Pelodiscus sinensis: one gene and its partners. The protein of the gene in region 3 purifies or fractionates together with the protein of the main gene of each other region. This does not show direct contact. Links are inferred from orthologs where the notes say so. Each region holds a gene or a part of one and is shown on either strand. Other genes may lie near its edges. The genes, in order: MRPS9, DDX5, HNRNPU and HNRNPA2B1.

What was found.
Region 1: the proteins of HNRNPU (region 3) and MRPS9 purify together in Homo sapiens (co-immunoprecipitation; 3 studies listed by BioGRID and IntAct, with this or other methods). This does not show direct contact. The link is inferred for Pelodiscus sinensis from reciprocal best matches to the Homo sapiens genes HNRNPU and MRPS9.
Region 2: the proteins of HNRNPU (region 3) and DDX5 purify together in Homo sapiens (affinity purification with mass spectrometry; 3 studies listed by BioGRID and IntAct, with this or other methods). This does not show direct contact. The link is inferred for Pelodiscus sinensis from reciprocal best matches to the Homo sapiens genes HNRNPU and DDX5.
Region 4: the proteins of HNRNPU (region 3) and HNRNPA2B1 purify together in Homo sapiens (affinity purification with mass spectrometry; 4 studies listed by BioGRID and IntAct, with this or other methods). This does not show direct contact. The link is inferred for Pelodiscus sinensis from reciprocal best matches to the Homo sapiens genes HNRNPU and HNRNPA2B1.

The regions. Positions count from the first base shown.
Region 1 is NC_134711.1:233,198,874-233,206,057, reverse strand, and holds the start of MRPS9 (small ribosomal subunit protein uS9m), read right to left. Parts: upstream 3,003-7,184; 5' UTR 2,908-3,002; coding exon 2,824-2,907; intron 1-2,823.
Region 2 is NC_134730.1:20,752,758-20,760,308, forward strand, and holds the start of DDX5 (putative ATP-dependent RNA helicase DDX5), read right to left. Parts: upstream 3,012-7,551; 5' UTR 2,840-3,011; coding exon 2,814-2,839; intron 1,428-2,813; coding exon 1,262-1,427; intron 1,048-1,261; coding exon 951-1,047; intron 869-950; coding exon 735-868; intron 590-734; coding exon 524-589; intron 1-523. UniProt on the Homo sapiens protein: Involved in the alternative regulation of pre-mRNA splicing; its RNA helicase activity is necessary for increasing tau exon 10 inclusion and occurs in a RBM4-dependent manner. Binds to the tau pre-mRNA in the stem-loop region downstream of exon 10.
Region 3 is NC_134713.1:132,534,136-132,541,634, forward strand, and holds the start of HNRNPU (heterogeneous nuclear ribonucleoprotein U), read right to left. Parts: upstream 3,008-7,499; 5' UTR 2,819-3,007; coding exon 2,107-2,818; intron 1,172-2,106; coding exon 1,060-1,171; intron 946-1,059; coding exon 872-945; intron 1-871. UniProt on the Homo sapiens protein: DNA- and RNA-binding protein involved in several cellular processes such as nuclear chromatin organization, telomere-length regulation, transcription, mRNA alternative splicing and stability, Xist-mediated transcriptional silencing and mitotic cell progression.
Region 4 is NC_134712.1:197,287,073-197,294,957, forward strand, and holds the start of HNRNPA2B1 (heterogeneous nuclear ribonucleoproteins A2/B1), read left to right. Parts: upstream 1-4,877; 5' UTR 4,878-5,027; coding exon 5,028-5,102; intron 5,103-7,885. Other genes in the region: CBX3 (chromobox protein homolog 3), read right to left, coding at 3,169-3,249. UniProt on the Homo sapiens protein: Heterogeneous nuclear ribonucleoprotein (hnRNP) that associates with nascent pre-mRNAs, packaging them into hnRNP particles.

The DNA of each region.
Region 1 (7,184 bases), on a different chromosome or scaffold from region 3:
TATCAGATTTGAAATACTGGTGTCCTGTTTATTTAGTGTTACATCAATTTTCACCTATTAAACTCCACTCAAGTCAGTGAAGACACATGAGCATAAAACTAACAATACTGTGTAGAAAATAGGGATGTAAGCTTAACGAATAACAGAGCAGTCACTTGAATAGTAGCTTTCCCTGCCCCCGCTAACAAGGCAGCTCTTGTACATTTTAAAGAGAGCCACAGCAGTAGCGACACCTCTGCCTCCCTTGTTCCCTTCTCCTCCCCTACCCCCAATCGTGGAGACAGTGCTGGAGGGAACCGGTGGGGTCTTGACTGCTGCACCTCTCCCTTGGAAATGTACAGGGGAGCTCTTCAAAGAGAGAGGCACAGCAGGGTAGTTTAATCAAGTAGTCGATGGAAATTCCATTGACTACTCAATTAGTTGATTAATCAAAATTTAACATCCCTAATAGAGAATAAGTCCCCCTGAACTCCTTGAAACTTGGTTAGGGTTTTCACAGGCTATCTTCTCATTCTTGCATTTAGAGAAAGAATAAATAGGAGTGACACACTTACTTGCTTTACATTACTAACTGGTCTGCATCTTTAGTTGGTGTAATAGCTCCATTGTGCTCCAATGTAAACTAAACAGTCCTCATCTTCTCATTCTCTCTTCACACATAAGTCTATCCAGTCCTCCAATTAGTCTCATTACCTGTCACTTTGACCCTCTACATCTGAGAGATGGGCTGACCAGAACCAGACACTATTTTCAAACTAGGACTGTACCTCAACATATAGATTAGTGGTACAATATTCTCAGTATTATTTATACTCCATCCCTTGTGCAGAACACCTGAATATTTTGTTTGTTTCTAACCACTATTGCACACTTGAGGTGTCCACAAGGACACCAAGTCTTTTTCCTGAATTGTTACAGTTATTTAGAAACCAGAAATTAATGTAAATAGATTGAGTTACTCTTTCCAATATACATTATCTTGTGTTTGACTACAGTGAATCATCTGTCATCTGTTGCCTAATTGCTTGGCTTTGTTAGGTCACTCATGAGTTCCACAGTTTTCACCATCCTAAATTATGATGTCATTTCAAAATTTTGTCACTTTCACCCTCTTTCTAGATCATTAGTGAGATTACTATATATTTTAATATAGCATTGCTAATACAATGGTCAACACAATACCTAGACCAGACCTTATGGGTGACTTACATTTGCTTTTCAAACTGTAAATGCAAATTAGCAATAATTCGACTTTTTAACAATGAACAAATCATCAACTCATCATCTCTGTAGTCTTTCAGTCAAAGACTTGACCATCTTTACAGAAAGAAATGTTGTCCTTTACCCACATAACAGTTGTGTATATAACAGAAAAGAATAAGTTCCTCTCCACTGCATGAATCCCTGGGTGAAGCTCTTTGCCTTACACTTTGTAGGTCAAACCAGACCATCATGCTAGTCCTTCCAGACTTAAAATCAACAGTCTCAAGCTATAGCTATACTATGACCCTTACAGTGACACAGTTGTATTGTATTGTACCACTGTAAGGTCTTCCAAGTAGGATGTCAGCATTTCTAGTCCCCAGGGAGGTGGAGCCGGGAGTGCTGGGGCATTGTGGGAAATGCTGGCTGCTTAGCTTCTCAAGGGTAGAGCCTGAGGGGTGATGACTGGCTTACACCTGGCCATATTTGTGTCTGGCACCATGGCTTTAGGCTTAATCTTTGTATTCATGCTCGTCAGCGTGAAAGAAGCTATTTCCATGTATATTTGCTTGTATATACAATCACACTTAAATTGCAGCCCTCAGCATGTGCTGTATTATTGTGGCCCTCGGGGCTTCCAAAGCCAAGTAGTCCTGCTTTAGGCTATATCTACAGTGCACACCTTAAAACAACACAGCAGTGCTGCTAAAGTTGAGCCACTGTACGGTAAGCACTAAGCAGCATAGCTGCTCTTTGTCACGAGTGAGCTCTCTGAGCGCAAAATAAAACTACCCTCCAAAAGCGGTGGTAATGTCCATGCCTGGAGAGTCTCTTCTGCTGATGAACCACTGTCCTCACCAGGGCTTTTTGTTATTAAAACTTTTTGTTATTCCAAGGCAACTTAAAACCCCCCCAGCTAAGCAGCTAAAGTTTTAACAACAAAAGTGCAGTGCAGACACGGCCTTAGTAGCCTATAGTAAAGGGACTACCACACATGGGCAAGACGTGGTATTCCAGGGGTGGGCGATAAAGAAAGGAGGCAGCCCGCCAGGTCGCTGCAGTTATATTCCCCATGTGCCCCTGCAACAGTTGTGCCAGTTTGCTGAATTAATCCAACAGGCGCACACACCTAGCAGCCTGACAGCCGTTTCACCTGGGGCGGTAAAGATACAGACCTAAGCCAAGGCCACCGGGGGCGCGACAGCGGCAGGGCTACGGCGGGTGGGACAGAAGAGGGTTTCCCATCGCAGCGCGCTCGGGCAGCGCTAGGTCGGGCCGCACGGGGGGGGGGGGGGGCGGTGTCGGGGAACCGGACCAGGCGCTCCGGGGTGCCAGCTGTTCACAGGCCCCCGCTCGCCCCGCACCCCACGCGGGGACCCGATGCCGGCGCGCTCAGCCGGGACCTGCCCGCGGGCCCCAAGCAGCTGCCGGGCCGGGTGCCCTGCGGCCCGATCCCAGCGTCCCCCGCTCCGAGGGGGCAGGCCGGGCGGGAGGCGGCTCCTGCACCCGCCGGGCTGGGCTCGCCCCAGGCCTAGGTCCCGCGCCTAAACGGCCCCGGGGGAGGGGGAGGGGGAGGGGGAGGGGGAGCGAGCGCTCGGTTCCGGCCCCCCCCGCTCTTACCTCCGCGCGCCACCTCTCCTGGCCTCCCAGCGCCGCGCGCCAGGAGCGGCTCGCTCGCAGCACGCGCCTAACGGCCACCGCCATGTTTGCTGCCGTCCAGGGCTGTCAGCGTCGCGCGAGCCGGGGGAGGGAGGAGCCACAGAAAAGAGAGGGGGCGGGGGGAGAGGACCCAAACAGCTTGGCATCGGCGCAAGCGCGCTGAACCGCTTGACAGGGGCAAGGGCCGGCGCTCGGCTGTCGTCGGGCTGCGGATTGGCTGTGCGGGGGGAAAGGCGAGATTTGTTGCTCTCACGTGATCCTGGCGGGGGAGCCGGCGCGCGCGCGCACGGGCGCGACTTCACCCCTGTCCGCGAGCCTCTCGCGCTGCAGCCGCGGAGCTGCGTGCCCAATGGAATGTGCCCGGGGAGGGCGCGCGGCTCGGCTGGGCTGGGCTGGGCTGGGCCGGGCTTTACAAGGGCAGGAGCGGGTTTAAGGCAGAGCAGCAAGGGTGGCTGGAACAACTTGGATAGTGGGGTGGTGCTAAGAGCCATTGAACCAAACTGTAAACCCTGTGTATGATAGAAACTACTTCAAGCCAGGGGTCATAGGCAATGGGTAGGGGTGCATGTGGAGGCACCCTATATTCCTCCCCTTCCACTATCTGGCGGTGGGGAAGACACAAGTCTGACATCTCCAGCCCATTTGGGCAGGTCCCAAGCTGCACCTCTCTGGGGAGTACTAGGAAGAGGTTTTGTGGGGAAAGGTGGAGCAAGGGTGGGGTGGGGGCAAAGCAAGTGAATGCCAAGAGACAGGGCAGGTGCCCACTTCCTTCTCCTGCCAAGCATTGCTACTGCCAGGAGTGCTGCAGCACCCCCTCCCTGTACCCTTACTTTCAGCAACTATGGGTTCCCCTCACTGTTTCCTTGAGCTAACAGGACATGTGGCTTGAGTGTTGCAGTGGGAAAGGTGGCACCAGGCAGTGCATTGTCACTTGCCCATTATTTCCAGCCCTATATCCCTATATCTAGTGCTTGGTATTGCACCTCACATCAGGCTAATGGTCCCATGGGTTGTATGCAGTAATGTGCATGTTAGCTACTCATTCATCTAGGCTCTGCCTGTTCCAGTTATCTGGGCCATAACCCTGCAAATGGGTGGCATATAACTACTTTGACATAAGGGGATTTCTCCATAAAGTTACCTGTGTAAATAAATAATAATAAATCTGCTTGAAATAGAGGAGAGACCTCATGAGGGCTTCCCTACTGATACACAAACTATGTAGGGCTCCACAAAATTTGGGGTACCAAATTGCTCCCAATTTCATAGTGCACAAGCATCTGCATATCAAGTCTGTTGGCCAGCCTGATCCCCCAGTTGCAAACTGGAGAAAAGCAGCACTTTCCACTTCTGTGACACCTCCACCTGCTTTCCTGAAGCTGCAGGTGAAACTCCCTGCCCTCGTGTACTCCTGTGCCCCATATTTTCTGTTCTCGCAGCCCCACCGTGAGAGCAGAGGGGATGCAGGTGCTAGGCTGTGTAGGCACCAGCATTGCTAGGGATAGTTGTGGACTTCATATTACAAATCCCTTATGTCACGGATTCTCTTCATTTTGTGCCTTGCATGCTGTAAGTGCTTCAAAAACAATAGTAACCTGCTGTCATATAAGTCAGAGCAAAGGTCCATCCCACTCAGTATCCTGTCCTCTGACAGGGTGTGTCTACACCACCCTTAGCTCAAAATAAGCTACACAACTGAGCTACACAAATTGCGCAGTTTATTTTGAGTCAATTTCTAAATAGATTTTTTTTTGTAATTTTGCACTGTCTGCACAGCACTAAATTTCAAAATAAAGTGCTATTCCGAAACTTTCCTTAATCCTTATGGATCGAGGTTTACATGGATGTCGGAATAGTGAGCCCATTATTTTGAAAGATATTTCAAAATAACAGGCGTGCTGTCAAGACACGGAATAGCTATTTTGGGATACCGGAAATATCCTGAAATAGCGCTGCAGTGTAGACATAGCCATAGTGGCCAATGCCAGGCACTTCAGAGAGAGTGAACATAATCGGTAATCATCAGGTTATATACTCCATGTCACCCATTCCCAGCTTCTGGGAAACAGAGGCTATGGACACCACCATCTCTATCCATCCTGTCTAACAACCATTGATCGTTCTATCCTCCATGAATTTATCTAGTTCTTTTTTGAACCTGGTTATAATCTTGGCCTTCGCAGCACAATTTGCCAGAGTTTCATTGATTGATGATGTATTGGGTAAAAAAAATACTTCTCTTTGTTTTTAACTTGCTGCCTATTAATTTCATTTGGTGACCACTAGTCCTTGGCTGTGTCTAGACTGGCAAGTTTTTCCGCAAAAGCAGCTGCTTTTGTGGAAAAACTTGCCAGCTGTCTACACTGGCTGCTTGAATTTCCGCAAGAACACTGACGATCTCATGTAAGAAATCAGTGCTTCTTGTGGAAATACTATGCTGCTCCCGTTCGGGGCAAAAGTCCTTTTGCGCAAAAGGGCCATTGTAGACAGCTCAGATTTGTTTTGTGCAAAAAAGCCCTGATCTCGAAAATGGCGATTGGGGCTTTTTTGCGCAAAAGTGCGTCTAGATTGGTACGGACGCTTTTCCACAAAAAGTGCTTTTGCGGAAAAGCATCCATGCCAATCTAGACGATCTTTTCCGCAAATGCTTTTAACGGAAAACTTTTCTGTTAAAAGCATTTCCGGAAAATCATGCCAGTCTAGACGTAGCCCTTATGTTTTGGGAAAGAGTAAATAAAACTTCCTTATGTATTTTCTCCAGTCATGATTTCCTAGACCTCTATCATATTTCTCCACCCTTTTAATGGTCTCTTTTCCAAGCTGAAAAATCCCAACCGTTCTAATCTTTCCTCATATGGAAGTTGTTCCATATCCCTTATCTTTTTTGTTATCCTTTTCTGAACCCTTTCAATTCCAATATATCTTTTTTGAGCTAGGGATACCACAAGAATATACAGTTTTGCACCAAAAGTTTAAACATGAACATAGGGGCTACGTCTACACTGGCCACAATTTCCGGAAAAGCCATGCAAATCAGGTAAGTCAGGATAGGGAAATCCGCGGGGGATTTAAATATCCCCCGCGGATTTAAATAAACATGTCCGCCGCTTTTTTTCCGGCTTGGGGAAAGCCCTTTTCCGGAGGATCTCTTATTCCTACTTTGAAGTGTAGACATAGCCATAGTGGCCAATGCCAGGCACCTCAGAGAGAGTGAACATAATCGGTAATCACCAGGTTATATACTCCATGTCACCCATTCCCAGCTTCTACTTTGAAGTAGGAATATTGTATTTAGAAGTTGTTACAGTTTTCTGCTGAGTAGGGTTCATTGATTAATATTTTCACAGCCTCTACATATAGGTAGCAAGTCTTCAGAGCTAAATGGAATTCATCACTGAGATAGATAGATCTGGTCAGAGAATTTTGACAATAGCATCTTGCCAAAGAAAATAGAAATGAACATTTTCAGCATTTTTCAGAAACTTTTATTATTTTCCAATTATTTTCTTAAACAGATCTCTCAAGACTCATTTTTAGGATAACTCTTTGCTTGAGATTGATTATTGAAAGTGCACCTCCACTCTGCATCATGTTTATGTTCCATTTCATCATCATCATGACAAATCCTAAAGGAAAGTAGCCTAGAATGGCCACTCACATGGTTCTAGAATACCAGCCATTCTTGTACTTCTGGGAACAGCATGGGCCCACCCATGCTGAGATGAATTTGCCACAAAATCATACTTGAGGGGATGGAGCAGTATACTCTTCAAAATGGCATTCCCCGTCCCATACTGGACAAAACATCCAGATTTTGTCTTAGTACTGACTGGAGGACAAGCCACCCCAAAAGAGGACTGATTTAAAACCACACCAGTGGCCACTCTAAGGTAGCCTCCTTGCAGGTTGAGCACCACCCTGATCAATTTCTAACAAGGTCCTTAAGATGGTCTGGCTGGATAGTCAGTTTATTTCCATCACTAGCAATCTTATCACTTCACTGAAGCGTCTGGTGATCAAGTGACCACTGACCAGATAGAAACATTCCTAGGTAAGCAAACTTCAGAGTTTGCTGTCTTCCAACCTAATAATATTCCCATACCAAGAAAGGTACCAAATCTGAAGCAGTTCTGATACAGGCAGTTGAATGATTCAGCTTCAATATCCTAATTTCTGATCTTGTTCTGACATTTACAGCTGACCAAGACAGCAAGAAACGAAACTGTCAATACAGTGTTCTTCAGCCTTTCCCTAATGCACTCATTAGCTGCCCATCAGATGGTAGCTGGTTACAGTCTACTCCTACCTGCTTGTAGCTGCAT
Region 2 (7,551 bases), on a different chromosome or scaffold from region 3:
AAACATTGTCAATATCAAATTAGTACACCAGCAGGGTAAACAAGCACAAAATCTTTCAATTTTTGCCAAATCTATTTAGAGAAAAGCTAGCTACAAGAGTCAAAGTTTTATGTAGGCAAACAAATTCCAAAAGATGACCAAAAATCTTTTAGAAGTGGATAAGATTGTCTTCCGGTAACACTTTAAAAAGTGTAATAGGCTTCTTTAGGTTTCACTGCCAAGATACCCTTCAACAAGTACCCTCAAAACCAGCCATCTTTTGACACAGGGGGTTATGCCCTCAAGCTAATCCAATTTTGGGAAGCACACTTTGAATTCTTCAGTCTTAGAGGACAGTCTATACAATGCACCTAAGCCTGATGGACTAGCTAAAACATGAAACTGACTACTTGCAAGGTTTATAATGATGCAGCATTCAAGTGCCTAACTTTTCTACTCAATCCACATACTCCAACCCCAACAATTTGCATTTAAGAAAGCCAGATTCCTCTAAAAGAAAAGAGCTTCATATTCTTATACTCACAATAGGTCCATCTCCTCGCTCCAGGAATGGCTGATGATTTATATGCACTATAGCAGGCAACAAGTACTGTGTGAAAACAAAAACTCATGTTATACATACATATATCTAAAACACTAGGAAATGTAACTAGATTTGCAGTTTTATGTATTAGTAACACTTTGAACATGGAAATGCAGTTACATAACCTGAACATTGTAAAGTTACAACTTACGGACAAGGTTTTCCCAGATCCAGTCTGTGCTACTCCAACCATATCCAGTCCACTCAAAGCAACAGGCCATCCTTGTGCCTGAATAGCAGTTGGTTCAGTGAAATTCTGTCCCTGAATTACTTCCATAACATTTGCTGCAAAAGAGAACCAATGAATTAGATGCTTGCATTCATGATGTCTGAGTGAACCCCTGGATATACAGGTATCTGTACTCACCAGGAAAGTTAGCTTCATAGAAATTTATAAGCGGTTTTGGACAGGTATGGCCCTTCACTGTGATTTCTTTGCTTGCTCTGTACTGTTCAACCTCTTGCTGCAAAACATAATTACATTAGCATTATTTAAAGCTTTATCTAGAACAAAATTGCAAATTGACTGAAATCAGTTGTATTCAAATGAAGTGTAATAATTTCTCTAAACTTACTGATTCATATCCCACATAATAAGTCGTCAAGTAAAAAGCACATTAAGTGTCAATTCCTGCACAGATAAACAATTTTAATTAAGCAAACAGCCAAGGTACATACCACAGTGCGTCTGACTACATCAGGATGCTCTTGATAAAAATTCTTCTCAAATTTGGGCAGTTCATCTAGGTTCCATTTCTTTTTCGTAAGTTTTTCTCCAGGGTTTCCAAATTTCTTTCCAGATAATGGTCCGCCTCTGCTTCCTCCAAATCGAGGGCCACCAAACCTAAAAAATTATTAGCCATGAAAATGTTTGCAAAATGTAACAGTCTCTTATGTGACAGTTAACTCACTTCCATAGTCAGATCAATGCTAAAATTCTCAATATAGCTAATTCCTAATTTGTGTTCATCAATATTTGGAGAAAGCATTTAGCTGCCCGTTTTCACTTCCAAAGTATAATAAAAGCCACAAGCAGCAGATTAGGATTAGTCACCAAATACCTAACACCCCAGATAAAGGAGCACCTAATTTTCTAAAGCATTTAAAATGAATCGCTGGAAACAAAAACAAGGCTAGCCCTAACGCCTTGGTAACAGAAGTGACACTCCCAGTGTGCGTCAGAGATTGAAGAAAGCCAGTGTATGCCCGTGGGTGGGGCGTTATGAAATCTAGAAACATTCTCGTAAGTGGGTGCCTATGGGATGCTTTTTAATTTAAACAAGCGCAACGAATTCGGGTAAGGAAACAAAACCGGCCGCAAGACGCTGGGTCCCAAATAAAAAGCGCATCGGAGTCCCTTCGACGGAAAACGATAAAATCACCAGCGCCCCCAAATCCCGTTCAGCCGCCAAGTACGCACCCCCCATCTCACAACTGGGCCAACGGGCACCGTGAAGGGTTATTCGCCCCTCCAGGCCCCGTCCCCATCCACCCGGGCTAGGCGGCGAAGTGCCCCCGCCCCCGCGGAGAACATGGCGGAGCGGCAGCCGCGGTTTCCTTTGTTTCTCATTTCTGTCTACGCCACATTTTCCAGCCGCTGCCATTTTAGAGGCTGGGCGGGGAGGGGGAGGAACAAAGGCAGCAGCCGGCATTTTGATTTCCCCTCAGTCACCGCATGGCGGGGCCGGCCATTCACATCCGCTTACACAACACAAAGCAAGAGCCGGCCGGCTTTAGCCCCAGACGCCATCTGCCCAGGGCGGTTCCGGAGCGGGAAGGGGGCAGTTTCGGTCACCGGAGGGGCGCGTGCACGACCCGTTAAACCGCCAAACACGGTTCCGACTGCCCGAGCCACCAAACCGGGAGACCTGGAGCCCGAGCAGCGGCGGGGGGAGGGGCGCGTTCCCGAACTCCCCCCCCCCCCCCCACAACCCGGAGCCGACGATCCCCAACCGTCGAGGGCAGATTGCTCAGCCGAGTTTGTACTTCACCGGCATTCGGTCACCAGCCCCCGGGCTCGCCTACCACTCTCCCCCCCCCCCCCCAGGTGCCCCCGACTGCTGGGATCCGATGCCATCGCCCCCCACCTCCGCAGTCAGCGGCCCCTCCCGCCATTCGCGGATCGATGGAGAGGGCGCCCATCCCCGCCGCCATTTTACATGGTTCAACGGCCGGTAGAGCCGTTCGGAGGAAACACGGCGGCAAGCGCCGGCCGGGGCCCCAGACTCACCCTCTGTCCATGTCGTATCCAGGCATAGCAATGGCGGCGGCGGATGAGACGAGCCCGAGCACTGAAGCGAGAGGCAGAAGGTACGGGAAGGTCAGGGACTGCAGGCGACTCTAATGAATGGGGAGCGTCGAAGCGCCCGAACGCCGGTTATATAGCCGGCGCCCCAGGGAATGCTGGGAACCGGGTCGTGACGCGAACTCAGAACCCTTCCCTCTGTCCTGCGTCAGAGACCGAAGCAGCCGTATTCCCCTCCCCCTCCTGTGGGCGTGGCCGCGAGCGCTAGGTTCTCGACTTCTCTTTTGCTTCGCCGGCCGGTTTTTACCCTCGCAGGCGGAAGTTCCCCTTTCCACTTCGGGCGTGGCTCGCGCTACAGTCACTGCCCGGCATCCCCGCCCCCTTTCCGTTTTCCAGGCGCGTGCCCAAAGCCCTCGAGCGGCGTCCTCCCCTCCCCCTAACTTCAGCCTTTCGCGCCCACGCTTCTCAGAGCGCGAGCCGCCCGCGCCTGCGCATTCCTGGTGGTGTCATCCCCTCCCCCTCATGCTCCGTTGTTGTCATCAGAGGCCTACTGTGTCCTTTGTAGCCCCTTTATGATGGAAGAGGAGCGGGAGGGGGGCATTAACCAGCTGGGGCGCTGCACAGTCCCTCTCTCTGCCCCGAGGCTGTATAGGGGAACCAGCCCACTCTCATCAAAAGGGCATTGCCCCCAACAGCCCCAGGTTCTGACATGGCTGTTCCCTTCTCTCTCTCTCACACACACACACCTAGTAAATGTGACTCCGCAGGTGGTTCATGATCGTTGGGAGTCAGGAGCTTTGTTTTATGTAGAATCCTGGGACTGGGGCTGAAGGGGACCTTGAAAGGTCATTAGGTCCACAAACCTTCAGAGAGGCAGGATAAACCCAGATCATCCCTGACAGGTGTTTGTCCAGCTTGTTCTTGAAAGACTTTAACAGTGACAGCCCCCGGGGAAGCCTGTTCCACTGCTTAACTGCTATTTGGAATATTTTCCTGTATCTTGCTGCAGACCAAGTCCATTACTGTGTCTATGGAGAACAATTGTTCATGGTCCTCTTTCTAAGAGCCCTTTAACATATTTCAAGCCTGTATCAGGTTTCTCTGTCAGTTTTTTTCTCGGGAATAATATGCCCAGGTTTTAAAACTTTTCCTCACCGTTTTTTTAAATCTTTGTATAATTTTTATTGATCTTCTCTGGCCTTTCTCCAATTTACCTACATCTTTCCAAAAGTTTAGTACTCAGATTTAGGCACACTACTCCAGCTGATGCACCACCATTGTGAAGTAAAACAAGACAATTAACTATAGTGTTAGCTGCAACACTATTTTAATACAAATTGCAGATTTATATTAGCTTTTTTCTAACTACATCACCTTGTTAAAATGTTCAATTTGTGATCATGAGAACCCCAGATCCTTTTCAGCAGTACTACTAACTAGACAGTTCCTATTTTGTAGTTGTGCATTTAATTTTTCCTTCCTAAGTGAAATATTTGCAATGTTTTTATTGAATTTCATCTTGATTTCAGATCAATTTTCCAATTTGTAAAGGGAATTTGGAAATCGTATCCTCTAAAGTGCTTGCAACTTCTCCCAGCTTAGTGTCATTTGCAAATTGTATAAGCATATTCTCTATTATCCAAGTCATTAATTCAGATCACTAAAAGCACTGGACCCCTGACTGACACTGTAGAACCCCACTAGATATGCCCACAGAAACTACTCTTAGTCTGGTCTTGCAATCAGTTGCCCACTCAGCATATAGTATTTCATATTACCCATTTACCATTACATTACCTCATGTTTCACTACATATTGCATCTGCACCATTTTCAGAAATTCTTCCTTCATTGCTTTAGCACCTGCTGATGCCCAGTTTTCCCTAGAGCTTCCATTGCTGCTAGGAACAGTGGAGATGCTCCCATACTAAACTAACAATGGGATATTTTTAAATTAGTGGTAAGTCTGGAGCTGGCAGCAGGAGTTGGGCCCATCCCAGCACTCACTGGCTGTAGCAGGAAGTAGAAGTACCTGGCTCCTGCCTATTCTGCTCTGCTAGCTCCCAAATGTGTCACTGCTTCCTGCTTCCAGCAGGGGTGGCCCCAATCTCTGCTGCCAGCACCAGGCCCCCTGATAATTCCCTGGACTGCCCTGGGCCCCACACTGACCCCAAAAGCGCAGATCCTGGGATGGTTGCTCCTCAACTGTCCATAGCACAGGACAGCGCTGTCTTCTGTTCTGTGAAAGAGCAAACAACATTTCCTTATTCTCTTTCTCTACATCTGTCAAGATTTTATAGGCCTATATCATCTTCCCGATGTTAAATTTCTTTCAAGCTGAAAAGTCCTAGTCTTTTTAATCTTTCCCCATACGGAAGCTGTTCCATACCCCTAATCATATTTGTTGCCCTTCTCTGTTGTGTCTTTCCCAAGTCTAATATATTTTTTGAGATGGAATGACCAGATTGGCACACACTATTGAAGATGTGTGCATACCCTGGATTTATATAGAGGTATTACATTTTCTTATTTATTATCTCTCTCTTTCCTAATCATTCCTCACATTCTGTTTTCTGACTGGACGCCCATAGCATCTAGCTATGAATCAGGACTTCATTGTGGTAGCTGCTGTATAAAGAATAAAAAGATGGTTATTTTCCCAAGGAGTTTACAAAGAAACCTTAGATGCTATATTTTGAATATGCAAAGCTATTTGATTTTTCCTTTGCTCCTTCCTTTTTTATACCAAGTGGCATGATATGTTCATTTATCAATTAAGTCATGGCTTTATGGAGGTCTCTGCTTATATTGAAACCCAGATTTGGTACTAGAGTCAATATAATTGACTTTCTGGTTTGTATGTCACTGTAATTCACTGCTCTCAGACTAGTAATTAAGATCCCAAATGCTTTTGTCTTCAGCCTTCTTCAGGTACCATACATTACATGTGTTTGGGATATTAATGAACAGGGCACTCCAGATTCTGGGGTAACATGGATTGATGCAATATAGAATTTTGAAAACTTTTAGCCACTGTTTCATGGATAAGCAAATGTGTTTAGGTCACTGGATATCTATTGCAGCTAAGGAAAGCTGGAAACTTCAGTGACAGCAGTAAAGGGGAGTAAACATAAGCAGGCAACATCTTTCAAAGTTTTCTCCTGCATTGGGGTGATAAGAGTCCCCAACATTCCTACACTCTAGAACAAGTCTTTCAAGATCAAAAACTTTCCTGTGCTTTCTTATCTTCCCAAGCACTCCTGAAGCCTCATTTCCCTTTAATCCCAATCCTCTATGTTCAAGAAAAGCAGCTTAAACTAAATCCTTTATTGACAAATTCCTCCCAGCATTTCCTAGGACAAACTTGACCAGAGCTCTCTCATTTTGTGCCGTCTCCTCCCCCAGTACTTCATATAAAGGGAGGTGGTGGAATCACCACCCAAGGGAGGTGGTGGAATCTCCCTCTCTGGAGATATTTAAGAACAGGTTAGATAGACATCTGTCAGGGATGGTGTAGACAGAGCTTGATCCTGCCTTGAGGGCGGGGGGCTGGACTCGATGACCTCTTGAGGTCCCTTCCAGTCCTATTATTCTATGATTCTATGATTCTATATCTACTGGGACAAGCCTTCTCGACACCTGAATTTGGCCTTGAAAGTCTACATCCAGTAATCTTGCATAATACTCTATTTCAGAGTGATTAGATGTACAGTGTATGTCTTTAGTTAGCAGTCTGTAGAACTGTTTGTTATGCCTTTCTATCATTCATTATGTTATTCTGAGTCAACATACAAGACTTTTCACTATCATTATGCATTATTGACTTGTAATACGATTATTGATGCTTTAAACATAACACATAGCTGCTGCTTCAATGAATTTAAAGTGAAGATAGACAATGAACATAGATAAGGGGAAGAAACAAAAAGAGTGAGATGCAGAAGTGATGTTTATTATAGGATTTAGGGTTTGTGGGGTTTTTTTTGAGCTAGAGCCATTGAAAGGAGTAAGAATTTTTGTGCTACCCATTAGTGAACATTTCTCAGACTAATGGTTCCACTCAAACCAGGATCAAGGGGACCCCTGCCTCTCTTTCCATAGGTCCTGGAACACTTACGTTGTTCTGTGTATGTAATGATACCCTGCATCACTAGGGTGTCAAACTTTCCCAACAGAATGCCATTTCGGACCAGATGCCATTGCCGCAAATGGTGTTCAGTCCATCAATTCTGGGAGAGTTGGAAATCCTATGCATCACTGTTACTGTCAGGAGTTGTGGGTGCTCCACCCTCTGATATGACCCTATTACTTTCTCTGGGAGGCTTCCTGTGAGGGCATACCCACACTGTCCTTCCTAGACTGTTCTCTGTGGGCAGTAGGAATCAGGTTGCCACTTGTCCTTGTTTTTACAGGAGCATCCCTGATTCGAGATATCTATAATGGGAAATCTGTTGTAAGGGTGCTCAGTACACTTTGCCAGCTGTCTAGTTTTATGAACTCAAGATCATCCTGAACATTCCAGTTTTTTTGTACCTCAGAGTTGGCAACCCTGCCTAGGACACTGGGTGCAGGGAAATGCACATCACTCCCAGGGCAAAGAGAAGAGTTCCTTGGGACACCGTTGTTGTTCTCATTGGGTTTGCTATAAGGTAGCCAATTTTGTTTAACCTTATTTCTGGAGATTTAATCACGACATAATCTTTAATTCCCGGCCAATCCTGGAA
Region 3 (7,499 bases):
CATGTCACATCTTAAAGACCAAGTCCCCTCCCCCACACACTTTAGCCTTAGTGGCAACAGCAAGGGCTCACAAGTTGGTCATTTTCTCCCCATTGTTTTTTCATAGTAAATTTGTAATCACATAATACATGGTTTGAACTGGACATACTAGTGCTGAATTAATTCCAACACTAATGTACAGTTCACTTTACAAATGAACAATAAAACTTAACTGCCTTATGAGGTTTGTACCCAAGTGGTAAGAATTCTCCATGTATACCAGCTCATTCCTGCTTTGAGCTAATGACTATCAATTAGAAGTCAACATATGGTTTGTTCTAATTTATTAATATCAGCAGGATTACTTCATCGCAATACTGCTCTTATCCGTGTAGTGTTTAAGCTATGAAATTGAGGTAAACTGCTTCTTTCCTCCCAAGTTACCAGGGCTGAACCATAACAGAGCCTGAACATATTTCATAATTAAGTTCTCAATCTGAACCAGCCTGAGGTCCTCCTCCTCCCCCACTGTGGTTTAGGTCCTCTGTATTCTCTCCTCTCCACTTTGAATCTCATTTGAGAAGACCTGCTTCAGTAACCAGTGAACTTTTTGGAAAAGTTTAAGTTCACCCTGAAGCCCTTTCCCCAGCCTAATTCAACAGCAAAACTGGGGGTAATATTTTTAAAGTTAAAAGAACCATCATACAGAGAACAAAATAAGAGGAAAGCCCAGGCTTTCTTCATATACCATAAAACACAGAAAAAGGGCATAAGCCTCAAGGACTTCAGAAGTCACTTTTAATTATGAAAGCAATCTGTATGTTCTTACTACAATTCATCAAGCAATTTATTTTTAAAAAAATGTCGTTAATTTTTTTTAAAAAGTACTTACAAGTATCAAGACAAACCATTGTATCATCAAACTGTTCATCTTCCTCTTCAACAGGTGGTTGAGGAGATTTGGCCCTAGAATCAACAATAAAATTTGATGAGTTTTTCCTCAACTGTTTTTACAAAGTAATTAATACCTGGCTTCTCTTCAGAGATCTAATAATATTTAGTGCTTTGAAGTTTCTCTACCTGCTGTACTTGTTTTCCTCAATGTACTCAAAGTATCCCCGACCATGGTCTTCACGAGGCCTCTTCACACCTCTCTTTTTATCACCAGGTTTTTGTTCTGTTTTAGTATCGCCTACAGAAAGTAAGTTAAGAGAAAAATATGTTTAAGGTAATTCCTGTTGAGAAATGTGTTTTAGTTTTAGTTTTCTGGGGTGGTATTTCCCTAAATGCCAGGTTTCAAATTCAAACATGTAAGAAGTCTCCATATAAAAGATATCCATTTAATTTTTGGGCAGGTAACTGGTGTGCTCTTAATCATTTAGATAAAATCTATTAGGACAACACTGCAAATTTTAACGGCAGCACTAAGAATCTGACAATGATTTCAAGTTACCTCATGAATCGTCAGACTTGTGAAAAATGTGACAAGAATAATATGAACTTGTGTGTACAAGCTCAACAGAGAAGACACCTGCTGTGTTCAGACAAATGGGAGGTTAGGCAGAAAGCAGACCAGTAGCTCACTGTATTAAATGGATCGTTTACACCCTCCTTCCCTTCCCGCCGCGGGCACAGTGAAGCCAAGCACAAGGGCGCTACACAACTGCTGCGCCTCTCTCCCCGCGTGGCCACAGGCGCAGCTTGGCGGCGGCGCAGCTCCGCATGGGGCCTGGCCGCAGGGAAGGGGATTCCGCCTCCATTGTATCGAGCGTTCCAAAAACGCGAGCCTGAGCAGCAGCCAGGACGGAAGTAACGTCACGCCGCCGAACGTTCGTTTGCACAATACAGCGCGCCCCAGCGGCCCCTCCTGAACCGCCCCTCCCCCACGGCGCAGCAGCCCATGCCCCTCGCTCCCCCCCCCCATCCCCCGCCGCGCTCGGAGACTGGCGCAACGGTCCCGCCCTCCCCCATCGCCCTCGAGCAGCGACCCCACCTGCCCGAGACACCCCCCCACGAGGCCGCCGGTGGGCGGGGGGAGGAGGAATAAGGAGCGCGAATCCCCTCGGCAGCCGGGCAGGGCCCGGATCTCGTGCCGAGCTCCCGGAAAGGCCCCGGCCACGCACTCACCGCCGGCAGCCTGGGGCCCGGGGCGGCCGCCGCCGCCGCCGCCTTCCGCTTTCTTCTTGTCCTGCTGCGGCTGGTACTTGGCGGGGCCCGCCGAGGCGGCCGGCGCCGTTGCCGGGGGTCCCGGGGCGCCGCTTTTGCTGGGCGCCTCCTTGGCGGGCGCCCGCTGCTGGGGCTGCAGAAGCGGCGGCGGCTGCTGCTGGGGCTGCTGCTGCTGCTCCCCGTGCCCGTTGGCGTCGCCGGCCTCAGCCTCCTCCTCTTCCTCCTCGTCGGCGAGCTCGTCCTCCCCCTCCTGGAAGCCCTGGTCGTCTCCGTTCTCATCCTCCTCTTCCTCCTCCTCCGAGCCGCCCGCCTCCTCCTCCATCGGGCCGCCCCCGGCCCCCGCCCGGTCGCCGTTCTCCTCGCCCAGCTCCATGGCGTCGCCATCGGCCGCCTCCATCCCCTCCTCCTCGTCGTCCTCGGCGGTGGAGGCCGCGGCCTGGTCGGGGCCTCCCCCTTGGCCGATCCCGGCCGCCTCCCCCTCCATGCTGCCGTTGCCGGGCTCGGCGGCGCTGCCGGCGGGGCCTCCCCCGCCGGCCTCCTCTTGGTCTAGCGCGGCCTGGAGCCGCTCCATGAGCTCGGCCTTGAGGCCCTTGTCGGAGAGACGCCGCTTTTTCAGCTCCTCCTTCAGCTCCGACACTTTCAGCTTCTTCACGTTGACGGGCGAGCAGCTCATGGCGGCGGCGGCGCGGTGCCTGGCGGCGCTGGGCTCGGTCGGGCGGCGGCGCTGGGTCGAGGCCCCGGTGGGACGCGGCTGGGTGGGTGGCGCGGCTGGTTCGTGCGGCTGCGGCAGCTGCAGAGCGGACCCGCCTGGCGCCAAATCCTTTCACCGAGCTCGCGAGGGAGAGACGCGCCTCGCGGGGGCGAGCACGCAGCTTGGTGCCCGCCCTGCCCGCGCACGCAATATACCCCCCCCCCCTTTCCTACTTACCGTAAGTGCCGCCGAGCGCCTCCAAAACCCCACTACCGTAAATGCCCGCCCCAGCGCATTCAACCTGCCTAGCCCCAGCTTTTGCAGCGCCGCGAAAGGGGCAGGTATGAACCTTTCATGGGACAGGAGGAACACCAGTGCTCTTACCAAAGAGCCCCCGCGTGTTACTCTGGTTGTGCCACTGGCTGACCACGATTATAGACAGGAGCAGTGGAAGTGCAGCTGACTAGCTAGAAAGCTTCAACCTACAATCCCGTACCGTGTCCATTTAAATCTTGCATGTTGCCCAATAAGTAAGAAAAGATGTAGTCTCCCCTTCCAGAAGGGTAAATTGGAGTATTTTGGCTCTGCCTCAGGAAGCTGTGGGATCCCCATCTACATCATCCATCAGAAAAAGGGAAAAATACATTGTTAGTCTGTGGAACTGAAGGCTCCACTCCTGTGATCGGCTCCATGTACACAAATTGTGCCTGCTTGAACATCACTCAGGTTCCCTATAGGGTCCTCTTTCACCGATTGGCTTACAGAGTCAGAATCCAAGTACGGACCCGACAGCTCACACCTAGTCAGTCTGCAGAGTTCACAAGCATAGTAGGATCCAACCTCCTGGATCTAAGCCTTTGTCTGCCCATAAAAATTGTGCCGCCTTGATCATAACAGCAGTTACACCAGTAAAATGTTTTTAGGGTGCACAGTTATACCAATATGAAGGTGCTTAAACCAATTTAGTTTAGACCTTGTCTACACTAAAAAGGTTATACTGGTACAACTGAGTTATGAATAGGATTGATAACTGATATTGTAATAGGCTGACCTCTACCATGGGCACAGTTATACTAGCATAGAAGTGCCTTATACTGGTGTAACTGATTTTCCTTTCTGAACTAGAATAAGCTGTATTGTACATCACTAAGGGTGATGTACAATATTAACTATACTGGTATAATTAAAGCAGTACAGCATCTGTGTTCATAAAAGCTCTCATATTATTGCTCAGTCATCAGAAAAAAAAAATAATCCTCGAGTAGGGAGGATTCTCCCTTGAAATCAACCCTGAGTAATGCTCAGGTGACAGCAGCAAGGACTCGCTCTTTCGCACACACAGCCTGTAAAGAATATTAGAGGAAAGGTGGTGATAGCCCTGATCTTTTTCTAGCATTTATAAAGGTTAATAGATTTTACATCAAATTTAGAGCTGCCAAGTGAATCCTAAAATAGGGAGCCTCATGTCAATCTGGACCAGCTAAAGAGAGGTCAAGGTTGTTAGCTTGTGTCTGTATTAGGGGAAAGGTTGTTGTTTGGTCAGGGCTAGCCAACAAAGGTAATCAAACCCTAATCTTTTCATCTAAATTATGGTTGGGCAACCTAAGGCTGGTAGGCCACACATGGCTCGTCAGGGTAAGCCAGAAAGGTTGTTTACCTTGTGGATGCAGGTATGGCTACCCACAGCTCCTATTAGCTGCTGTTTGCCATTCTGGCCAATGGGAGCTGTGGAAAGTGGCACAAACCACTGTAAGTGACATTGTGTACACATAGCCAGATTTATTGTTTTAAGATGCCTTCCTATAGTTTGCAGACAACGCTGCATCAGTTTACAAGCCATTTTTGGGGTTTTCTTTGCAAGCGAAAGGGTAAACTGAACCCTAACAATGAATGGATTCAGTTTTGATATCACATGACTCCATGAACCTAAATACCATATTCATGTACTAATATGGCTGCCCATTGAAACACACAAATCCTAGCTTCCACCAGGAATTTTTACTCCCTAGCTTCAGATCCAAGCTTTACAGATTGATGGGCTCCTTTTAGCGTAAGCACTAGCTCCTGCCTTAATCCACTTAACACACATCTATATTGAATGGTACCCTCATTTTGACTCACAACAATAGTCCTACACTGAAGACAATTGTAAGGAAGCATCAAGAAATCAAATCCCTGTATGCATTCAATCATATTGGCCAACTTTAGTAATACTCTTCTTATACATCTATAGAGCAACCCTGGAGTATCAAAACGGCTAAGGATTTTCATGCATGTTGAAAGATTTACTTCCCCCAAAACATTCAAACTTAGGGGTCTAAAGTTAGGATCCTAAAGTAATATTTAGGCACCTAAATAGAAAGTCTAATTTTACAGAGATGTTTAACACATGCAGCACCCATTGAATTTTAATGGGAGGTGGGATTTTCAGCACCTCTGATCATTAAACCACTTTTGCTTATCCCTTGTCTACACTTAAGACTTAGATCAATGTATCTACATTGCATTACTAAGAATTGTGAAAAATTATGTCCCAAGCTCCAATGCAGTCACCATTGGCTACTGCTGGAGTGCTGGATTAACTACTGTGGTGGAAAAACCCTGTCAGATGCTGCAGCAAGTGTCCACCTATAATAGGGACGTTGACTATTCAATTTCACTATAACTATGTGAAAGCTTAGCAGTTACACAACTATTCAATATCTCCAGGGGCGGAGATGGCAGCCAGTGTACGCCAACCCCATTCTCGGGGAGTCCCCTGCCACACTGTGCTTCTGCCTCTGTTGGTCCATGAAGGGAACTAGTTCAAAAGCCAGCTCCCTGCACAGACTGGCTGCCTGCCACTCTGTGCTGCTGCCTCTGATACAGAGGCAGCAGCATGGGGTAGCAGCAGCCTCTGTCCATGGGGTCTGAGCTCTCCATGGACAAAAGCTGCTCCATGGGGAGCTTGGACACCCGTGGATAAGGACTGCTACTGCAAAGCTTGGAGTTCTTGCTGCAGACAGAGGCTGCTCAGTGGCAGCCTCCTCTTCTCCCCCCCCCCCCATGCTGCTGCCTCTGATAGGAGTCTTTGGCAGTTGGAACTGAGAAAGAATGGACATGAAAATGATTAAGATACACATAGAACCCTGTTTAGCTTCATTTTGTATGAACTAGCATCAGTAGGCTTCTGAAAAGTGACAGATACATTATAGTCATACAATCACTCTGTTAAAGACAATCTTTTCCCAAATAAAAGACTTACTAGTCTTGAGTCCTATAAATGTTTCAGAATTTTAAGGTTTTTTTTTGGGGGGGGGGGGGGCTATAGCCCTATTTTAAAAACAAAAAGTGTAATTAGGAGGCATGAGAGAAATATATTCCCCCCCCCCTTTTTTTAAAATAGCTTAGACAGCTGAGAGGACAGGACTTTACTCAAGTTTTCATCACCCCTTGTTTCAGCTCAGCCAAGCATATCTGAAACATTCACCTTTAGACAATTATGAACCTCTGAAAATAGGGAGTTCTAGTAGCAACTGTTTTACCACAATAAAACTTAGAGTTACTCAGCTAGAATGACAGATATAAAAACCCTCTACTAATGTTAAATTACAAGTGTCCATATTCTAGATCTTATGGCACATACCATTCTGTCACATGATAAAAGACACCCTTGTGCATCTAAACTGAAAGTGACAAGTAGGTGCTATAATTAAAGTAACCATAATACCCTAATTCCTTGTGGGGTCTATTTTCTTCTCTACTTATTCTGCATTTATTTTAGTTTATTTTTTCTTCTTGAAACATCCCTCAAAGATACTCTTAGAGCGTGTCTTTCGAACGCTTATTTTGCGCCCTGCTACAGTTTAACTTCGGTCTCCTCCTAGTTGACATTGATGCATACACATTTACTCCTTGAGTCTGGTTTTCTTATTTCGTTTGCCAAACTTCACTTCTCCTTATCACTAAATGGCTCTCTTCAAATTCCTGGCCCCCACTGACCATGGTCCTTAGTTTCCACTGCTTTTTGTCATCCATGTTCTTGGAAGGACTTTCTCCATCCTTCTTCCCCCTTCTCCCTCTCCCCCCAGAATAAAATATGGAAATTGAAGGAGTGGCAGCATATACTCAGTAGCTTCCACACTCCCATGTACTGTTTAAGCAGTTTTTGCTCAGAGACCCAATCATTCAACAGACTATCACAAGTTTTAGACTGGGCCCTGAGCGAGTGGAAGCTATGCCGTTTGATCAGCGCCCCATCCCACGCACAGCCTTGATTAGACTGATTCCAATTTATTTATGCCATTCTGTCTGTCACATGGCAGGAGTCTTCTGTGTGTCTGATAGCAATTCCGATCCTTTACATCTTCCAGACTGAGAGAGACAGACAGGGGCACTTCTCTGAATGTCTACAGTTTTAGTTTTGCTTTCTCCCATCTTCTCCCCTTTTACCCTGTGCTTCCCTTGATGCATTCAGTGGTCATTGGAGGATGGGGTCTGACATCAGTCCACTTCTTTCAGTGTCTGAATTCTAGCTGAAACAAAAAAACAGGACTATGTAGCACTTTAAAGACTAACAAGATGGCCCACGAAAGCTCATCACCTAATAAACCATCTTGTTAGTCTTTAAAGTGCTACATAGTCCTGTTTTTTGTTTCAGCTAGACCAGACTAACACGGCTACA
Region 4 (7,885 bases), on a different chromosome or scaffold from region 3:
TCAGTGTATAATCACTCACCTTGTAAATGTTATACAAGTGAAAGATATAACATTGATGTAGCATTGTGGTAGATAGTGTAGATACATTAAAGTCAGACATCAAAGTTACAGTGTCAAGAGAAACATAAACTGTCTCCTCATATACTGGAGGAAGCATGGTTCCCATGAGAACTAAGTTCCTAAAAAATAGTGATTGCATTAACAGGTTCTCTTCCTTGTCTCCAAGCACTTTGAGTCTGATACTAAATTCCAGTAAAAGTTTTTTTAGCTTGATAACTTGTTTGCAATGTTATTGCTTAAACCAGGACTACTCAACAGGCGGCCTGTTTGTTTGCGGCCCATGGGTGGGAGCCAAAACAAAAAAGTAGTCAATATAACGGTCTTCTATTGAAATGAGTTTTAGTAGTTAAATTCCTGGACTGTCGTTGATCATTAAAAGTACCCGATTTCCACGCATATGACAGCAAATATTGCTTTTTATTAATGTCAGCAGAACTGACTTAAACGGGGCCTGTGTGTTGTGTAGTCTTGCTTAATCTTTGTATTCATGCCTGTCAGTGTGAAAGAAACTATTTGCATATATATTTGTATGTATATGCAACCACACTTATTGCAGCCCTTGGCATGTTCTGTGAGTATCATTGTGGCTCCCAGGGTCTTCTAAAGTTGAGTAGCCCTGGGTTATATAGTTGCAGTCCAGTGAAAAATAACTAGGCAATTAACGGACAGGAGACAGGATACTAGTATTTGTGTGGATGTGGGATAAACTAGCTATACTAGTCAGTAAGTACTATTTGCCTATTATTTTTCTACTAGGTAAATAGAGCACAGACTTCCACACTGTTGTCCTTTACAAACATGTACTGCCACAGCTAAATGAATACTAAGCCAACTACTGTGGCATTTATGTGTCTTCAACTTCAGAGTTTTTTGGGCTCAATTTAACATCAAGAATTTTCATAGGAACTTGATACATGTCAAAGTCCTGTTACAATGGTCCAGATAGGGGAAACAATCTCTGCTCCTATGAAATCCAATTGAATCGTTATTTACTAACAGCTCTAACCACAATCCACACTATGCCCCATCATATTAGTATTAGGTAATTGCACTCGTAGTTGTAGCTGAGGAGCTAGGGAGAAGTTAAAACGAATATGCTTCCCCCCCCCCTTTTAAATATACAATGAATTACATGGGGTGCTGAAAGGAGGCTAAAAAATCACAAGTGTTTTCTGTAAAAGGTTATTAAACGTAATTTTCACTGAAAGTCAGAGAGCTGAACTGGAGCACAGGCCTCCATTAAAAAGAGAAGGGATTTTGTTTTGTTTGTAAGTCTTTCACTGGAAAACAGCAGTTTTATTTAAGCCAAAGTTAATGTCCTTTCTATTAGCCTTAGTTTCTGGATCTGAGATTTTAGTCAGAATAATGCTGGGGAGGAGAGATGTGGATGTATCTTCTACATGGAGATGCCAAGTTATAATTTTGAAGAAAAATCCTTATATATTTTAGGTGCTCATGAACTTACCAATGTAGTTTTATTGGAGGCCATTTTTATTGCAGACTTGCAGAGCTTTACTAGAAAAATGCATGACAATTAAAAGGAAATTTAAGTTACTCAGAAAAAGGCATCCCCATACAAGCATGGTCCTTGTTCCAACCCCCATGTGTTCACTGCACATAACATGTCAAGTGTGGATTAAATCCAGAAAAGATTACTGCTTTGTCCAGCAGAATGCACAAACACACCATAATGCTAGTCATGATCCTAGCTATTGATTGTGTATGATAGGTTGCAAGAAAGTCCTACCAGCATAAGGCAGAGATGTTTCAGAGAGAGGTGGGGAGAACCATTTCCTTAAACCCAAGAAGGAAAAGTGTTCAGTTTCAAGCAATTAACTAAGATATTTAACAGCATTTTCAAGATGCAAAAGTGAAATTTTAGTTAGCAACAAAGTATCTGTAGCATAATTCACTAGTGAGTTACCAGTAATCCTGACACAGCAGGAAATATAAACTGCAGAATATTAAAACTATAATGTTGCAAATGTATGGATCAGAAGGCAAGAGTTAAGGCTAATACAGATACAAACTGCAAAACTGTGTACACTGTATGCGAAGACTAAAATGCTTAATTAAGAAATATACATTGAATTAACCTATATAAATTACATAAAAACCACATGGTCTGAAGAAAACTCATCCTCTTTCCCATGCAGTTGCTTACACTAACCACCTCTTTGGGCATACATTTAGTCACCCATCCCTGCAAATCACAAAATGATCAAGGCAAAAAAAAGCCTATATGGAAGTCAGAGGAGGGCTTTGACTCAGCGATCCTGCCCAATTCTCACCCCCTTGCAGCCCGAGAGGTGGTACTGTAGCCAAGAAGTCCAGCGAAGGACAGGCAGAGGCTTGGGCCCTGCTGCTGGGCACTTCATCTAGGATTCATTGCGATTGGAGGGGGGAGGGGGAGAAGAGGAGGGAAACAAAGGCCCATAGCACAGGAATGAAGGGTATGGCTGCGCCACAGGCCTGTGATGGGCGCATACGAGGCCCGGGTGACCTAACGGGACTAGCTGAGCAAGGAGTAGGGCCAACCTGCACGCCAACGCAGAGGAGGAAACCCTGCGCCCCTGCCTCTAGTCGGCGGAGGGAACAGCCGGCGAGTCATGCGTGTTGCCTAAACCTACACTCCACCATTTCACACACCCGCTCTCAAAAAAGGACGAGGGCCCCTTCCCGGCGCCACGTTGCCCCCTCACCGAACACGACCATTGCGCTCCAAGAATAAGCTGGGCGGACAGTGGAAAAACCGCCCTCGGGGCTGGCGGCGTCGCTTTGTCCCCTGAACGCACCCCCCTCCGCCTCTCCCCAGGCTGCACCCAGCGTCTAAGCGCTGCGCTCCCCTCCCTGTTAGGGCCCAGAGCCTTCCTCCTACCTATGGGGGCAAAGCACCCACTAGAGATCCCGGAGCTCAGCTCCCTCTTCCCCCGCACCGCCGCTACCCGCCTTCAGTAGCCACCCTTCAGGTAAAGGCGGGCAGCGAGGGGAGGGGGAGGGGAGCTCCGCAATTACACCCAACACGAGCCCAGCTGCAAGGAATTTTGGGCGCTACCCAATTCCTGGCGAGATTAAATGGGAAACGAGAAGAGAGAGAAGGATACAGACTTCAATGGTGCCTGGCGGTGGCGGCGACTCGGGTTTCCCGTCTCCTCCTTGCTCCCTGCGCGCACTGAGCAGCAGCGACATCTGAGGGGGTGGGGGCAGAGGCTGGGGCGGCTGCTGCGGGGTGGGAGCGCTGAGCTGCGCGGTGGCTGGCGGCGGGGCACCGCGCACAACGCCGCCTACACGTTAGCTGCAGCCTCCTGCCGCCGCCACTGCTGCTGCCGTGTCGCTACCAGTGCAGGCGCGAGCGAGAGGGGGGCCAGCCAAGGCTTCTCTCCCAGAGAGCGGCTTGAAACACGGGGACGCGAGCTCGTCGAGCGCCTGGGCGAAGCAAGATGCCTCGCGGAGACCGAGAGAGCGACTGGGTGAGTGCCGGGGCCCAGCGGAGCGCGCCATAGCCGCCGGGCCAACGGCCAGCCCTGCCTGGGCGCGGCCCCGGGACGGGCCTAGAGGCCGAGCTGGCCGCGGAGAGCTCCCGCATCGGCTGAGGGGCTGGTGGGCTACGAAGGGGAACTTCGGGGGAGCGAGCGGAGGCCGGGGGGGGGGGAGCATTAGAGGGGCTTGGGGGCCGGGGCCCAGCGACCATGCGGCCACTTCCTCGAAGACGGGTGGTGGGAGACCGCGGCCATTTCCCCACTGAGCTCGGCGGGGGGAGGGGAGCTGCCGAAGCGCCATTTCCCCGGCGAACTGGGGCCGCCACTCACCCTGGGCTGCGGGGCCGCTGTGCGCGAAGCTGGCTACGGCGGGGTCCGCCTCGCTCGCGGGCCTGGCAGGCGGCGTCTCGCTGCTGGCGCCAAATCGGGCCACTTCCTCCCAGGCGTCCGGAGGCAAAGGGGCCGCCCCGCCAACAAAGGGGGTCTCAGGGCCGCGCACTCCTCGCGCTCCGGGTTTGGCCCCGTGGCCCTTGCCCACGCTCTGCCAGCACCACAGGTGGAGAAAGGGGGCCCCTTTGGCTAATTATAGTCCTTTTGCTGCTGTTGGGATCGGTCTCCGGGCGGCTCCGGCAATTTCCGGAAAAACCCGAAGCGGGAGCTTCGGCTCTATTCGGACGCGAGAGGCTTTCCCGCTTCTTTGTCGGAAACTACCGAAGAGACCTTCGTAGTCGAGGAAGCCTGTTTCGGCTCTTTCCGGAAACTGCCGAAGTGGATCGCGCTAGTTCGGGCTTTTCCGGGTCTTGCCGAAGTGGAGTTGGTCCACGACGACGCCTGCGTCGGTTCTTCTCGGAGACAGCCATTGCTAGCGGAGCTGTTGAGCTTTTTTACTACGTTACTAAAGCACAAAGGAGCGTTCCGCAGAACTGCGGGCGCTTCCGGGGAGCATTTAATTCCACTTGCGGTCCAAGCAGCCGGCGACAGTTAGAGGAAAGGGAGGGGCGGACGGACCATTGCCTGACGATGCATTTAAAAATACGTAACAAGGCAGCCATTACTAAAAAGGTTGGGTCGTATTCTCAAAAAGGGTTACGCCGGCCATGAGGTGGGTGGTACGCAAATAGCGCACGTCTCGGGTGTACAGTTGCGCAAGGTGCGTTTCGGCTCGCAAGAGTTAGTACTCTTGCGTCATGGCAGGCATATTCTTAAAACTGTTACGCTGTTAGCGCAGCGGGAGGCGTTCGAACTTCCCGTTCGCTAATACGCTTGGTGGCGCAGTGGGCGAGTCTTGGTGCTTTTCCGTAGTAGAGACGTTAGAGGGGAGGAAGGTTCTGGAAGCGCCGGCGGCAGTTGGGCTGGTGCGCAGCAGAGGGAGGCGGAGGCACACGCTGCGGCAACAGCGCACGCGGAGGCGAGCCCTAGATCCGCCTCACAGACGGTTTAACCGAGCTCCTGTCGCTCTAGCGAGCCGCGTGCGCTCTGGGGGTGACAATGGAGGGCAGTAAGCGAAGCGGGTCTATGTCCGGGCCTGGGAAGCGCCGGGATCAGTCCGGGGAGGCGCAGATGGTAATGGCGGTAATGAGGGGGAGGGGTAAAATGGCGGCGGGATGGCGGGGAATAGACCCCGGCTTGCCGGGAAAGGCCCGGAGAGCCCTGCTGCAGGGAAGCGCCGCCACGGAAGAGTAAGGGGTGGCGGGTATGAGGGAAGGGTGTGCGGAGCGGAGTAACTGTTACCTTGCGGGCAGCCTGTACGGAGCAGGAGGTGATGTAGGGGTGGGGGCACCGGGGTTCCCTGTCCAGCTTGGCTGGGAGCCGGCGGGGTAGCTGAGGGGGGGCTTTAGGCATCTAGTTTTTTTACGATCTTGCGAGCGAAGCCGACCCCTGTTCTTGCAGTAGCGCCAGGCAGAATTTTTCTCGGCGGCATCGCTCTCCCTAGGGTTGTTGCTTTTAGGCGCCATTTTCCTTCTCTCTCCAGTGGCGGGTGCCTCTGTCTCCCGGCATTGCCACATGGCGGGCTCCGCGCAGCTGCTGCTCTGACCCTGGAGATTGCAGGCCCTTGCCCCGTTGGGAGGGTGCTGAGGTGGACTTGCGGAGGCACCGCTACCGCTCCTCTTGAACAGACCCGTACGGGTAACAGTCGCGGGGAGCGGGGAATTTAAACCTCCTCCCCCCCCCCCGCCCCACACACACGCGCATGAACTTTTTGGCGGGCACGCAGTACTCGGATGCTGATCTGAAGCTCCTGCTCTTTTACCTCTTCCCGCCATTTTTGTTAAGGTCTTAAGCTGCAGTTTGCAGCAGGTTATGGCCATTCTTTGTCTATTTCTGTAGGTATTGTTCTGTAAAACACATTCCTTGTGGCTGGACTCTTGCCTTCTCAATAGAGGCTCAACATATCCCCATCCTTGCAGATTCGCTCATGCTGTGGGAGAAGTACATTCTTGAAAGCTTCAAAGCTCGTTTATACCGTATTTTTTATTATAACTTTGTACAAAAATAGACGTTCTCACCGAGATTATAAATGGAAGGTAGCTGGACATGCTTAAGTTGCCACAGGTAACATTTAGGCCTTGTTTTCACTACAAACATTAGGCTAGTGTAAAGTTCTCCTGCCCTGCCCCATGACATTGTGTAAGTTAGAAACACTCTTCTATCAGCAAAAGTTCCATCTATATGAGGATTTTGCCACTTAGTTGTTAGGTATATGTTTTTTTCCCCCTTTCATACATCGTTATGCTGCTGCAGACAATATAGTGTAGGCCTGGCCATATTGTAGTTTCCTATTTGGTAGGATGCTAGCCAAGGTTGTAACAGTACTTTTAAGGAAAGAGACTGTTCTCATTCAAATCTCAGTAGCAAAGTAATATCTCCTCTCCTCCCCAGTATAGATATGTTCTAGGTAACACATGTTAAAATCACAGTGTAGATAGTTTTAAACATCTCAGCAAGACTGTAAATAATAGGGGGGAGCTGGAAGTCTGAAAATGGAGTCCATGTTCCACCCAAGGCAGGGCATAGCATGGGATCATGTACAATACTGATTTACTCAAGTACATGCTATTTTTGATGCACCATGTGGTAATTTAAATATGAGACTCCAATGTCAAACTTCAGAATAGTTCTGTAGCTCTTGTGGCTGCAGCATGAAAGCTTCAGTGCTGAAATTAAGCTTGTCATGCTTACTACTCCCCGGCCCCCCAAGAAGTTCTGTGCACAAAATGTTCTCAAACTTTCTTAGCGTAACCAATGTAAGGTGTAGACACCCTAGTTCCCCCTACTGAGTTACCTCTTTTTCCTTCCTAGTCTCACTGGTTGTGTGGTGAAAAATGACAGTTTTGTATATATTTTTGTTTCCTTGGTAACTACAGTGTCTTGCAAGTGTCCTTCAGATCCGCAGAAGTTTCATGTCATATATTCTAATAGGTAAACGGTGTGGGTGAGGTACTGTTTTTGTTTGTATTGGACCAACTTTACTCTAACATGATTTACAGCAACACTGCTTATTCTAGTAGCTCTTGTTAACTTGGCTTATAATACTTTCTGAAGATGTGTTATGAATATATGTAGCTTATACCAAATGATAGTAGTGCCTTGATCCAAGTTTTCATTAGCAGTCCATTTCCCCAAACCCTGTCTCAGCTTTGCCCCACTCCAGCTAAGTTTGGAGTAATTTGTGAAAAATATTTATGCAAATATCTTGTAGCATTAATATAGTGGTCCAAATATTCCCATTGAGCAGGGGTTCTCAAATTTTATGGCACCACAACCCCCCCTCTGTGCAAGAACAATTGTTAGTTTGATGCCAGTATGGGGCTTGAAGTCTGAGTCAGACTAAACCCTGGGTTGGGCCGGGTGGGGGAGGAGACAAAGCCCAGGGGCTTCAGCAGGAGACTGAAGAGGCCTGTTGCCTTAAGTCCTGGGCTAAAGCTCCTCAAGCTTTGGTTGCATGCTCCAGAAAGACTAAGCAAGGACAGTTAACCCCATTAAAATGGGGCTCGTTCTTCCCATATCTTTCAGTTGGCTGTAACATTAGTGTGTGGGTGTTTTTTGTTTAGTTTTTAAATCCGAGTGGATTTTTGGAACTTATTTATGGGTTAGTACTTAATCATTCAATTTTTGATAAGACTGTGTGGTTGCTGCTTTAATCAGGCTTTGCAGATTGTCTTACAGCTGTGCAGTAATTAGAAATATGAAATTGAACAGTAAAAAAGGTATATAGGTTTGCATCGACAGTCTAGTGGCTGCAGAGCCTGAGAGAGGTAGCAGGATATGCAGCTATATCAAAACCAGGTTTGGTATTTTCTTAAATAGCTTCTTTTAGCTCTAAGGGTGCACCATTGAAATCTTGC